2 linked regions of the Daphnia pulex genome follow. Each later gene encodes a partner of the first gene's protein in a complex. Links are inferred from orthologs where the notes say so. Each region holds a gene or a part of one and is shown on either strand. Other genes may lie near its edges. The genes, in order: gamma-tubulin complex component 3-like and nucleoside diphosphate kinase 7-like.

Region 1 (4,275 bases):
AATGGTTACTTTAAGCCGACTTCAAGGAATCTCATTGACGTTCATATCTCTCAAAGTTGGCGAACAGAAAGGTGCGCATTCATTGCGTACTTCGAACTTCTCACAGGAAGAAGGCTTACACCCGAAATATGACCATTGTAACCAGACCTTAATACATTAAAAATTCAAAATTAATTACTGACTCAATTTCTGAAATTTCCAATACACTTACCAAGAGAATAGGCAAATACCAGTTTCTGTTGTGAAGACAAGTGAAACATTGACCAAACAGAGGATGACGAGCCACCTTCAGCTTCATTTGAAGGCAACATTAGAGCTATAATACAAACAACTGCCACCACAATGGCAATATAATTTGGTCCAGCATTTTGATAACCTAGAAAATTATGTGCTTAGTAAAATCATTTGGAAAACAACAATTCAATAAATCTCCAACAACCTAATTTTCCAAGGCTATTTGAGGAAGCTTGAATTTGCATAGTTGAGGAGCTTGAGTCACTAGAAGAGGCTGACGGTACATCTGTGGAGAACTGTCTGAAGTTATCCAGACTAGTAGCAGTTGAGTCTGAGATTCCTGTCGATTTTCCTGGTAATAAAATAACTGGGATATCTTTCTTCCCTAACAACTGTCTGCTGTTGTGTTCATTCATTTGAATCCTGAACTTGTCCGTAACATGGTAGCAAGTTGGCAAAATAGAAATGTGTCGTATTACTATATCCATACAACAGTGAGGTTTTATAGAACCCTCAGGATCGCCAATCTGGTACTTGTGTGGAGCATTACACAGTACTATCAAAAGCATGCGAAAAAAGGTTAGGTTATCAGTGCAATTTTCAAGGACTAATACTAAAAGTGGTATCAGTTAACAACGCACCTTTGAAGTTTACAACAAAATCATATGGGTTGTAAACAGTGACCATTTGTTTATGTGAAGACGACTCATCAGCGAAGAAATTGAGCGAACTTGGGAAAACAAACACTGGTAACCGTTTCACCTCCGTCATTCTCACTTTATGTACAAATGACCCACTAAATATGATCTCAAATCTTTATTTTTGTTACGCAGTCTCTCGAGAAATACTCTCTTTTTTGTCCTTGTTGGACGATTCATAAACAAAGAACACGCCATCTAACGATGAGTTTAAAAACCACCAACGGAGTCCAAGAAAGCAGTAGACTCTTTTTTGAATTTTGTTTATAAAAAAAATACGACAACAGGTCAACAGTTTGTTTGACAAAATTCAATTATGGATGAAAATACAATTCCAGCTCTCGTCGAGAAACTCTGCAGATCTTTGAGCAGTGGAAAGTCTTCAGAAACTAGTATTCAAAGAGCAGTTTTTATTTAATGCTAGCTATTATCAAAATAGCTTGATTTTGTTGTGTGTTCAGTTCTGACAGTACTTTTTTTCTGGGTTACTCGTAGGTAAAGAATATGAAACAAAATACAAACTCGCGCTTCAGTTGCTGTCGTCCCAACATTTATCATCCCAAACCCATGAAACAGAGTTTTCCATTGTCCAAAGTATCAAGAAACTTCTGGGTACTAAGGAACGCTATCAAGATGCTAGGAAGTTTGATGAACTTTATGCCCGGCTAACTGCTAGTGTAAGTGACAACCATCAACATAAATTTTATTTAAATATTAATTGTTTACATCTTCTTCAGTCCATCCTTAAAAACAGAAAAGCTGTTTTGGAATTGATGTACTACTTGGCTCTGAATCCTCCTTCAGCAGCTAATGAACCTGTAGTTCGTCATTCTTTCACACTACCATCATTGGCATCATTTACTACTGATGTAGGACTGAGTTTAAAGAAAGAGATCTTGCACATTTAATCAAAATTTTCTTTGTTTTTAGACCACAACAATGGTCAAGACACCTAAGAATACAGAAATTCCTTATTCTCCTCTAATTTCTCTTTCATCAAGCAAGAAAAGTGCACCACAAACAACACTTTATGGTACATACTCTTAGCTTATAACACACATAGTTCAGAAATTAGCAATCTCACTTTTGTTCATTTTACAGGTCATTCAGATGTCTCCAACCAAGTGTTACTTAGAGAAATCCTGTATGCCTTCCAGGGAATACAAGGACAAGTGTTCCAGTGGGATGCAACCCATGAAAATCTTCACCTTAAATCAACTGTAACTATATACAAACAGCTGTTCTACACATTTATTTTTAATTTTTCCCATTTCCTATTAAGGTAAAATTACCAAAAGCTCTGAAGCAGATGGTACTCAGTTTGGTGGAGTTGGGCTGGCTATTCTACAAAGTTCAAAAGTATTGTGAATCCCCAAAAACGGAATCCACATGTGGGTTAGCCGCGAGGGCTTTCGCCGCCGCTTTACAAGAAGAATTGAGTCAGTAAATCTTGAATGGAGCCCTTTATTAAACTATTACAAAAACATTTGTGTTGACGTATTGTTTCAGGTGAGTACTACAGACTGCTAGCAGTTCTTCAATCGCAGATGGAAGTACACACTGCTAGAACAGGTGATAGCGTTGGAGTCGAGACGCAAGGCTTAACATTCCAGAGGCTGCTAGTATGGACGAAAGAACCTAAAGCCAGGATGAAACTTTTGGCCGCTTTGGTGGAAGCGTGCCATGGTCAACGAGGCGGAGCTTTGGCTTCAGTTATTCACTCTTTCGTTTTACAAGGCAACGCCACCTTGAAAACTGTCGTGTTGAAAATTCTCGTCCAAGTGTGTCGTCCGTTATACGAGATGTTGATGCTTTGGACGTTCGAGGGCGAACTCCGCGATCCTTATGGCGAATTCTTCATCGGCGTGAACCTGGCTGTCGATCCCGGCAGTTTATGGAATGACAAGTATTATGAACGATCAATCATGGTGCCTAATTTCTTCACTCAAGAGCAAGGCCATCAAGTGGCCACCACCGGAAAAAGTATTTGCTTCCTGCGCGAGATTTGCCTGGATAAAAGCCCCATACCGGGATTGAACCAGATTCGTCGTACAGCTGAAGAACGTAGCGGTATGAAATGATTTCCTGAGACATCTACTTCATTTTCATTGAAATATTTCCTTTCATTTAGAATCGTTGCTTTCCTTGGATTGGGAGTCCATAGAAGAAGCTTACAGTACTGCATCTCAGTACTTGCTGCAAGTCTTGCTGGACCGCTATCACATCAAACTCCACTTGTGCGCCCTTCGTCAGTATCTGTTACTTGGCCAGGGAGATTTTGTCAATCATCTGATGAAACTTGTCGAGTAAACTCCAATTTTATTTACTTTTTGTCAAAACACTAATCATGGAATTATTATTTTTTAAAGGCCCGAGCTGGACAAGCCTGCCAACACACGAATGAGCCGTTTGTTGGCGTCCATTCTCGACAAGTGCATTCGCTGCACCAACAGCCAGTACGACGATGCGGATGTTTTGAAACGACTTGATGTGCGCATCAGCGAACCGTCGCAAGGTGACAGCGGATGGGATGTCTTTAGTCTCGACTACAAAGTAGACGGACCGCTAGGAACTATTCTCACACCTGAAGTAAAAACTCGTTACGAGACTCTCTTTTACGCCCTTTGGCGTTCGAAGCGCATGGAATGGATCATGTCCAAATTGCGCCATCAACAGCTAACGGAAGGACGGCAGCTGAGGGGCTTATTAGGTTGGAATTCTGATTTGATTTATAAAAAGAAGTTTAACGACTAAAAAGTGTGATTGCAGAGGTTCAAGGAGTCTTGCATCAAGCCCAGTTGCTGCTCTCCGAAATGATTCATTTCGCCCAGGAAATGTCGCATTACCTGTCGTTCGAGGTGGTGGCTTGCGCCTGGGAGCAGCTCAGCGTCGCCTTACGCAATTCAAAAACCATGGATCAACTCTTGACGGCCCACGAACACTTTTTGCAGACGGTGACCAGCCGTGCGCTCCTCGACGAAGAATCAAAGGTAGAAATAGTTAGATTTTATTGGATTCCAATGAATCTATAATTCATTATGTTCCAGGATATACGGGATCATTTGAGGGGCATCCATGAAGCCATGTTGCAATTCAGCCAAATTCAAGAGCGACTTTTCTCAGCCGCCATACTCGAAGTTGAAAAACGACAGGTAAACCAAAATCAACAGGTTGCAGATTTGGGGTTCTAGTTCAACTGTTGAATGTCTTTTGCCTACAGGGGAAATCCAAATCGACCATTGAGTCTTTCCTGCCGAGCATTAAAGCCAAATTGTGTGCCATCAGCGCCTCTTACCAGGTAAAGTGCACATAAAACGTACAGTAAAAATGGTCATTGCATTTC
Region 2 (4,268 bases), on another chromosome or scaffold:
TACAATCTAGCCGACAAGCAATGCAAAATGTTGATGGTTTTAAATGGAGAAATAACCTTAATGGTATTTTTACATATGTTTATTTTGTTTAACATCAAATAACGCTATTCTTAAATATGTATTGCAGTGGAAGCAAATGCTAGCAATGCATCAGTAAGGAAACGACCAAAAGTAGACAAACCACCTACTACGTCAAAGAGAAAAAAAGTTGACAGTACAGGTATTGATAATAGTTCTCTTTACATTTTATTTTGAAGAGCAATTGCTTTAATTTTAATCTTATAGCACCCTCCATGGAAGTTACCTCTACTATTCAAGAAACAATCGACATTCACCAGGCTGCTGAAGAAGGAATTGTTGATCCACTTCCTGATTCAATCAAAGAAAATCTTGCTGTTGTCATTGAAGATACGACAGTTGCATCGCCTTCTATGGAAGCTACCTCTACTATTCAAGAATCAATGGACATTCCCCAGGCTGCTGAAGAAGCTATTTTTGATCCACTTCCTGATGTAATGAACAAAAATGTTGCTGTTGTCATTGAAGATTCGACAGTTACATCACCTTCTATGGAAGCAAGCTCTACTAATTTCAAGTCTAATTTTGTGACATTTCAGTCACTAGTAACTTTATCAATGATACCAAAGAATTGGATATGGTCTTTTGATCAAATCAAACAAATGATTTATTGCATTTCGATGGATCAACTACCAAATGGAAATTATAATGTGAAAAGTGTACATTTTCAAAACAAACAAGAAGTAATGTATTATGTCAACAGAAAGAACATTCCATCAAGCACTACTGCTTTGTCAAACCATTTCACAACAGTTGAAAATATAACGCAATTGATAAAGGATTTCAACGATCGAAAAATTTGTTCATGCATTCCTCATTAAAGGTTCATAAATATTAACCTTTAATCTCGTCTTTCTGGTATATTGGACTCAGCTGGCGTGTTAAGATCGAAATATTGCAGAAAGAGAATAAAATTCAAAGTAACTAAGAATAAAACGTACCATGTATTTACACCACATTTTTTTTTTACACAACCAAACAATAAAATGTAAAAATGTGAGGACACTTAAAAAGATTGGACACTTTGAAGTTAGATAAAACTTAGAGGTTTGACAGTTGGATACTTCTCCTTTTTATTATTGTTTACTTCTTGTAGAAAAGTAAGCTGTGATTGGCCAATGAGTTTTTCATAGACCCTTCCTGATTGGCTGGCTTCACGTAGTAGCTGACACACTCACTAGAGGCGCTCATTCATTCTTCCAAATCGGCTTACGTTTACCCTGAAACCGGGATAGGGAAGCCAACACAGCCATGAACTGACCAGGTATCTATAGCTCTGCTATGGTTGCGTACTTGCTTTAACTACTTTCGAACACAAATGCGTTTTTTAAAATCCGGCAGCGTGGCCCTGTCAGACCCAGAAAACGTCTAAGCGGATTATTTGGACACGAGAAATTCGATAGAATTCGAATGATTCCTTAAACCAACCAGCAGTTTACGGTTTTATTTGTTTGACGTTTATTCGTGTTTTTAGATTCATTATTTGACCTTAATGTTTTACCCTTCTCGTACCAGTGTACTTGCTTTTGTCGCTCTCATTGCTGGCCTCTACCTCGCCCAACGTGTACGAACTTTTTTTATTACTTCTCTGTCACTTTGGCTGTGCTGTTGTGCTGCAAACTGATTGACATATTCATTTGATTTTCACTGTAGAACACAATGGAGGAAGAAAAATTCACCATCAGTGTAGAGTGGTATGATGACATATCTTCACTGGTGCGTCCATTTGTCTTGTTTTACTACCCCTCAGACAGGACAGTTGAAATGGTAAACACAATTGAAGTATACAAATAAAACTTTTAAATAATATTTCTTTTATTTAATAGTATGACAGCAAGCAAAAGAAAACATTTTTGAAGAGATCATTCTGTGAGACAGTGGCAGAAATCGATTTGTACATTGGGAACAAAATTTCAGTTTTTGGAAGAGAACTGAAGCTGATAGAATACCTCGACAATACAACCAAAACTGAATTGGCAAAGAAATCAGAAAGGTATGTAAAATGGTTATCTCAGTTCAGTGCAATTTTGTGATCAAGTGTAAATGAACTATAAATGTTTCCAGGACTTATGCCATGCTCAAACCTGAAGTCATTGAGCAGATGGGAAAGGTCCTATCCTTTATTGAAGGAAAGGGATTCAGATTCAACAAACTGATGCTGACCAAAATTGGTGCAAATAGAGCAGCGGAATTTTACAAGGAACACCAGGGTCGAGCATTTTATGAGTACGTGTGCAAATCACTTTTGTTAAATACGCTTTGATCATTTATCGTTTATTATCTACACAGAAAACTTGTAAATTACATTTCGTCCGGTCCTGTTCTCGCCATGGAACTGTTGGCCCCGTCAGCCATCAGGTATTGGCGAGTAAGTTTAGGACCAACCGATCCAGATGTGGCTCGCAGTGATGCACCCAACACACTTCGGGCCCTGTTTGGAAAAGATACTACATATAATGCTGCTCATGGATCGGATTCACCAGAAGCTGCTGCAAGGGTAAACTGTTGGTCAAAGAATCCATTGTGTGTTTCTTAATATTAAGGCATGTATTTCTCTTTCTAGGAGCTCAACTTAATATTCAATAATTTGAATAGCCATTACGAACCTTCCTACATCAAAACTTTGTGCCTTGTTAAGCCACACATTCTCCAAGAAGGTATACATTTTAAACTAGTGTTTTGCCATTCGCTATGGGAAACCAACGACTTTATCTACGTGTACCAATTATTTTTGCAGGGAAGTTGGGCGCACTCATCGCTGCCATTCAACAAAATAACTACAGAGTTTCTAGTCTGAAGCTTCACAGAATGAGTTTAACTGAAGCTGAGAAGTTCTTTGCTGCTTATAAAGGAGTTTGGGATGATTACCCGGTAATTCAATTGATCCTCTCTCCAATATTTTATCTTTAATCGAATTTATTTTCTTATCAGGCCCAAATCAAACATTTCACTTCAGGACCAGTCGTGGCATTGGCTGTAGATTCTGATGTCAATACATTCAGAGAATTTGTCGGTTCATTTGATCCGGTTAGTTTCATTTAAAAAATTTCTTAATTCTAAGTATTTTATTAACATCCGTTTTGTCTTTACTCTCTAGAATACTGCGCGGAAATTACATCCGTCGTCCTTGCGAGCCCGATTCGGACATGACATTACACATAATGCAATCCATTGTACCGACCTACCCGACGATGGTGTACGAGAGGTATGTAAATTTAACTTTTTTGTAATTGTGTAATTGTTATTGAATGTATAAATATTTTTATTTGATGATTTAAACAAATGTTTTTTTATTTCAAATTGATACAGGTTGAGTTCTTTTTCAAGGATGTTGGTGGGTTCCAGTAAAATAAAGGCAATATTGTGGACCATAATGCAATAACTGAACTCGTAAGCACCAAAACGGGAAAATTTCGGAATCGGGTAGAAGTAGGATAAACTAATGAAATTATGTGGGTGATGAACATCTAAGTGGGTATTGAACTCATCCTATAAAAAATTTGGGGGAAAAAATACAGCAATAATAATAACAAATATTAGTCTCTCTTTTTCCTGTAAAATCATTTAGGCTATTGGTGAGCATTGTGACTCAAAGCTTCAGTCAGGCAAAAAGAGTGCAGAAGATAGTGAAAGAAAAAACCCGCGACCGATTTGTTAGCCACACATTCTCACACAGCCTACCGAACCAACGATAAGAGGGATCCTCTTCTGTCTCGCAGTTTTGGCCATAAAAATTTGTAAGCGGCAAAAGCCATACCAGAGAAGAGCAGCGTCAAGAAGATAGTCACTGTTGGGTGAGATAGCAGTAATTAGTTAGGTTAATTAATAATAAGCAAAAATGGTTGTAGCACTCACAAAATACTGTTCCAGTGACGTTCGTATTCGGGCAAACCGTTGGGTTGTCAGTGTTTGAGATAAATTTCACTCTCCCTTCGTTTCCGTAAGTCAGTGGTGTTAATTTTTTTATGTACTCTCGGAGAAAAATTTCATCGCGAACGCCTGCCGAAATCAATTGAAAGTTTAGTTTATGATTACAAAAGATTACGAATGATGTCGACTGACCAGTGCTGTTTTTCAAAGCAAAATCTTCCATGGACGAAAATCTGCTGCCACCGTTGGCGATAAACGAGGGCATACCAATTCTGTAAACTTGGTTGTTTACAATTGGAGCCATCCCTCCTTGCGGGTTG

The links.
Region 2: gamma-tubulin complex component 3-like (region 1) and nucleoside diphosphate kinase 7-like share a complex: the UniProt entries of both Homo sapiens proteins name them as parts of the gamma-tubulin ring complex. The link is inferred for Daphnia pulex from reciprocal best matches to the Homo sapiens genes TUBGCP3 and NME7.

The regions. Positions count from the first base shown.
Region 1 is NC_060018.1:811,324-815,598, forward strand, and holds the start of gamma-tubulin complex component 3-like, read left to right. Parts: upstream 1-1,169; 5' UTR 1,170-1,248; coding exon 1,249-1,324; intron 1,325-1,427; coding exon 1,428-1,801; intron 1,802-1,862; coding exon 1,863-1,965; intron 1,966-2,033; coding exon 2,034-2,152; intron 2,153-2,214; coding exon 2,215-2,371; intron 2,372-2,441; coding exon 2,442-3,002; intron 3,003-3,063; coding exon 3,064-3,238; intron 3,239-3,301; coding exon 3,302-3,642; intron 3,643-3,701; coding exon 3,702-3,922; intron 3,923-3,979; coding exon 3,980-4,084; intron 4,085-4,152; coding exon 4,153-4,230; intron 4,231-4,275. Other genes in the region: motile sperm domain-containing protein 1-like, read right to left, coding at 116-147, 212-376, 440-790, 876-1,005. UniProt on the Homo sapiens protein: Component of the gamma-tubulin ring complex (gTuRC) which mediates microtubule nucleation.
Region 2 is NC_060026.1:2,937,071-2,941,338, forward strand, and holds nucleoside diphosphate kinase 7-like, read left to right. Parts: upstream 1-1,320; 5' UTR 1,321-1,570; coding exon 1,571-1,642; intron 1,643-1,731; coding exon 1,732-1,845; intron 1,846-1,904; coding exon 1,905-2,071; intron 2,072-2,142; coding exon 2,143-2,304; intron 2,305-2,367; coding exon 2,368-2,575; intron 2,576-2,641; coding exon 2,642-2,735; intron 2,736-2,815; coding exon 2,816-2,949; intron 2,950-3,009; coding exon 3,010-3,105; intron 3,106-3,175; coding exon 3,176-3,283; intron 3,284-3,343; exon of another isoform or gene 3,344-3,387; coding exon 3,388-3,426; 3' UTR 3,427-3,755; downstream 3,756-4,268. Other genes in the region: uncharacterized protein LOC124205225, read left to right, coding at 1-63, 128-220, 286-899; 5'-nucleotidase-like, read right to left, coding at 3,756-3,865, 3,934-4,077, 4,141-4,268. UniProt on the Homo sapiens protein: Possesses an intrinsic kinase activity. Displays 3'-5' exonuclease activity with a preference for single-stranded DNA. Does not seem to have nucleoside diphosphate kinase activity.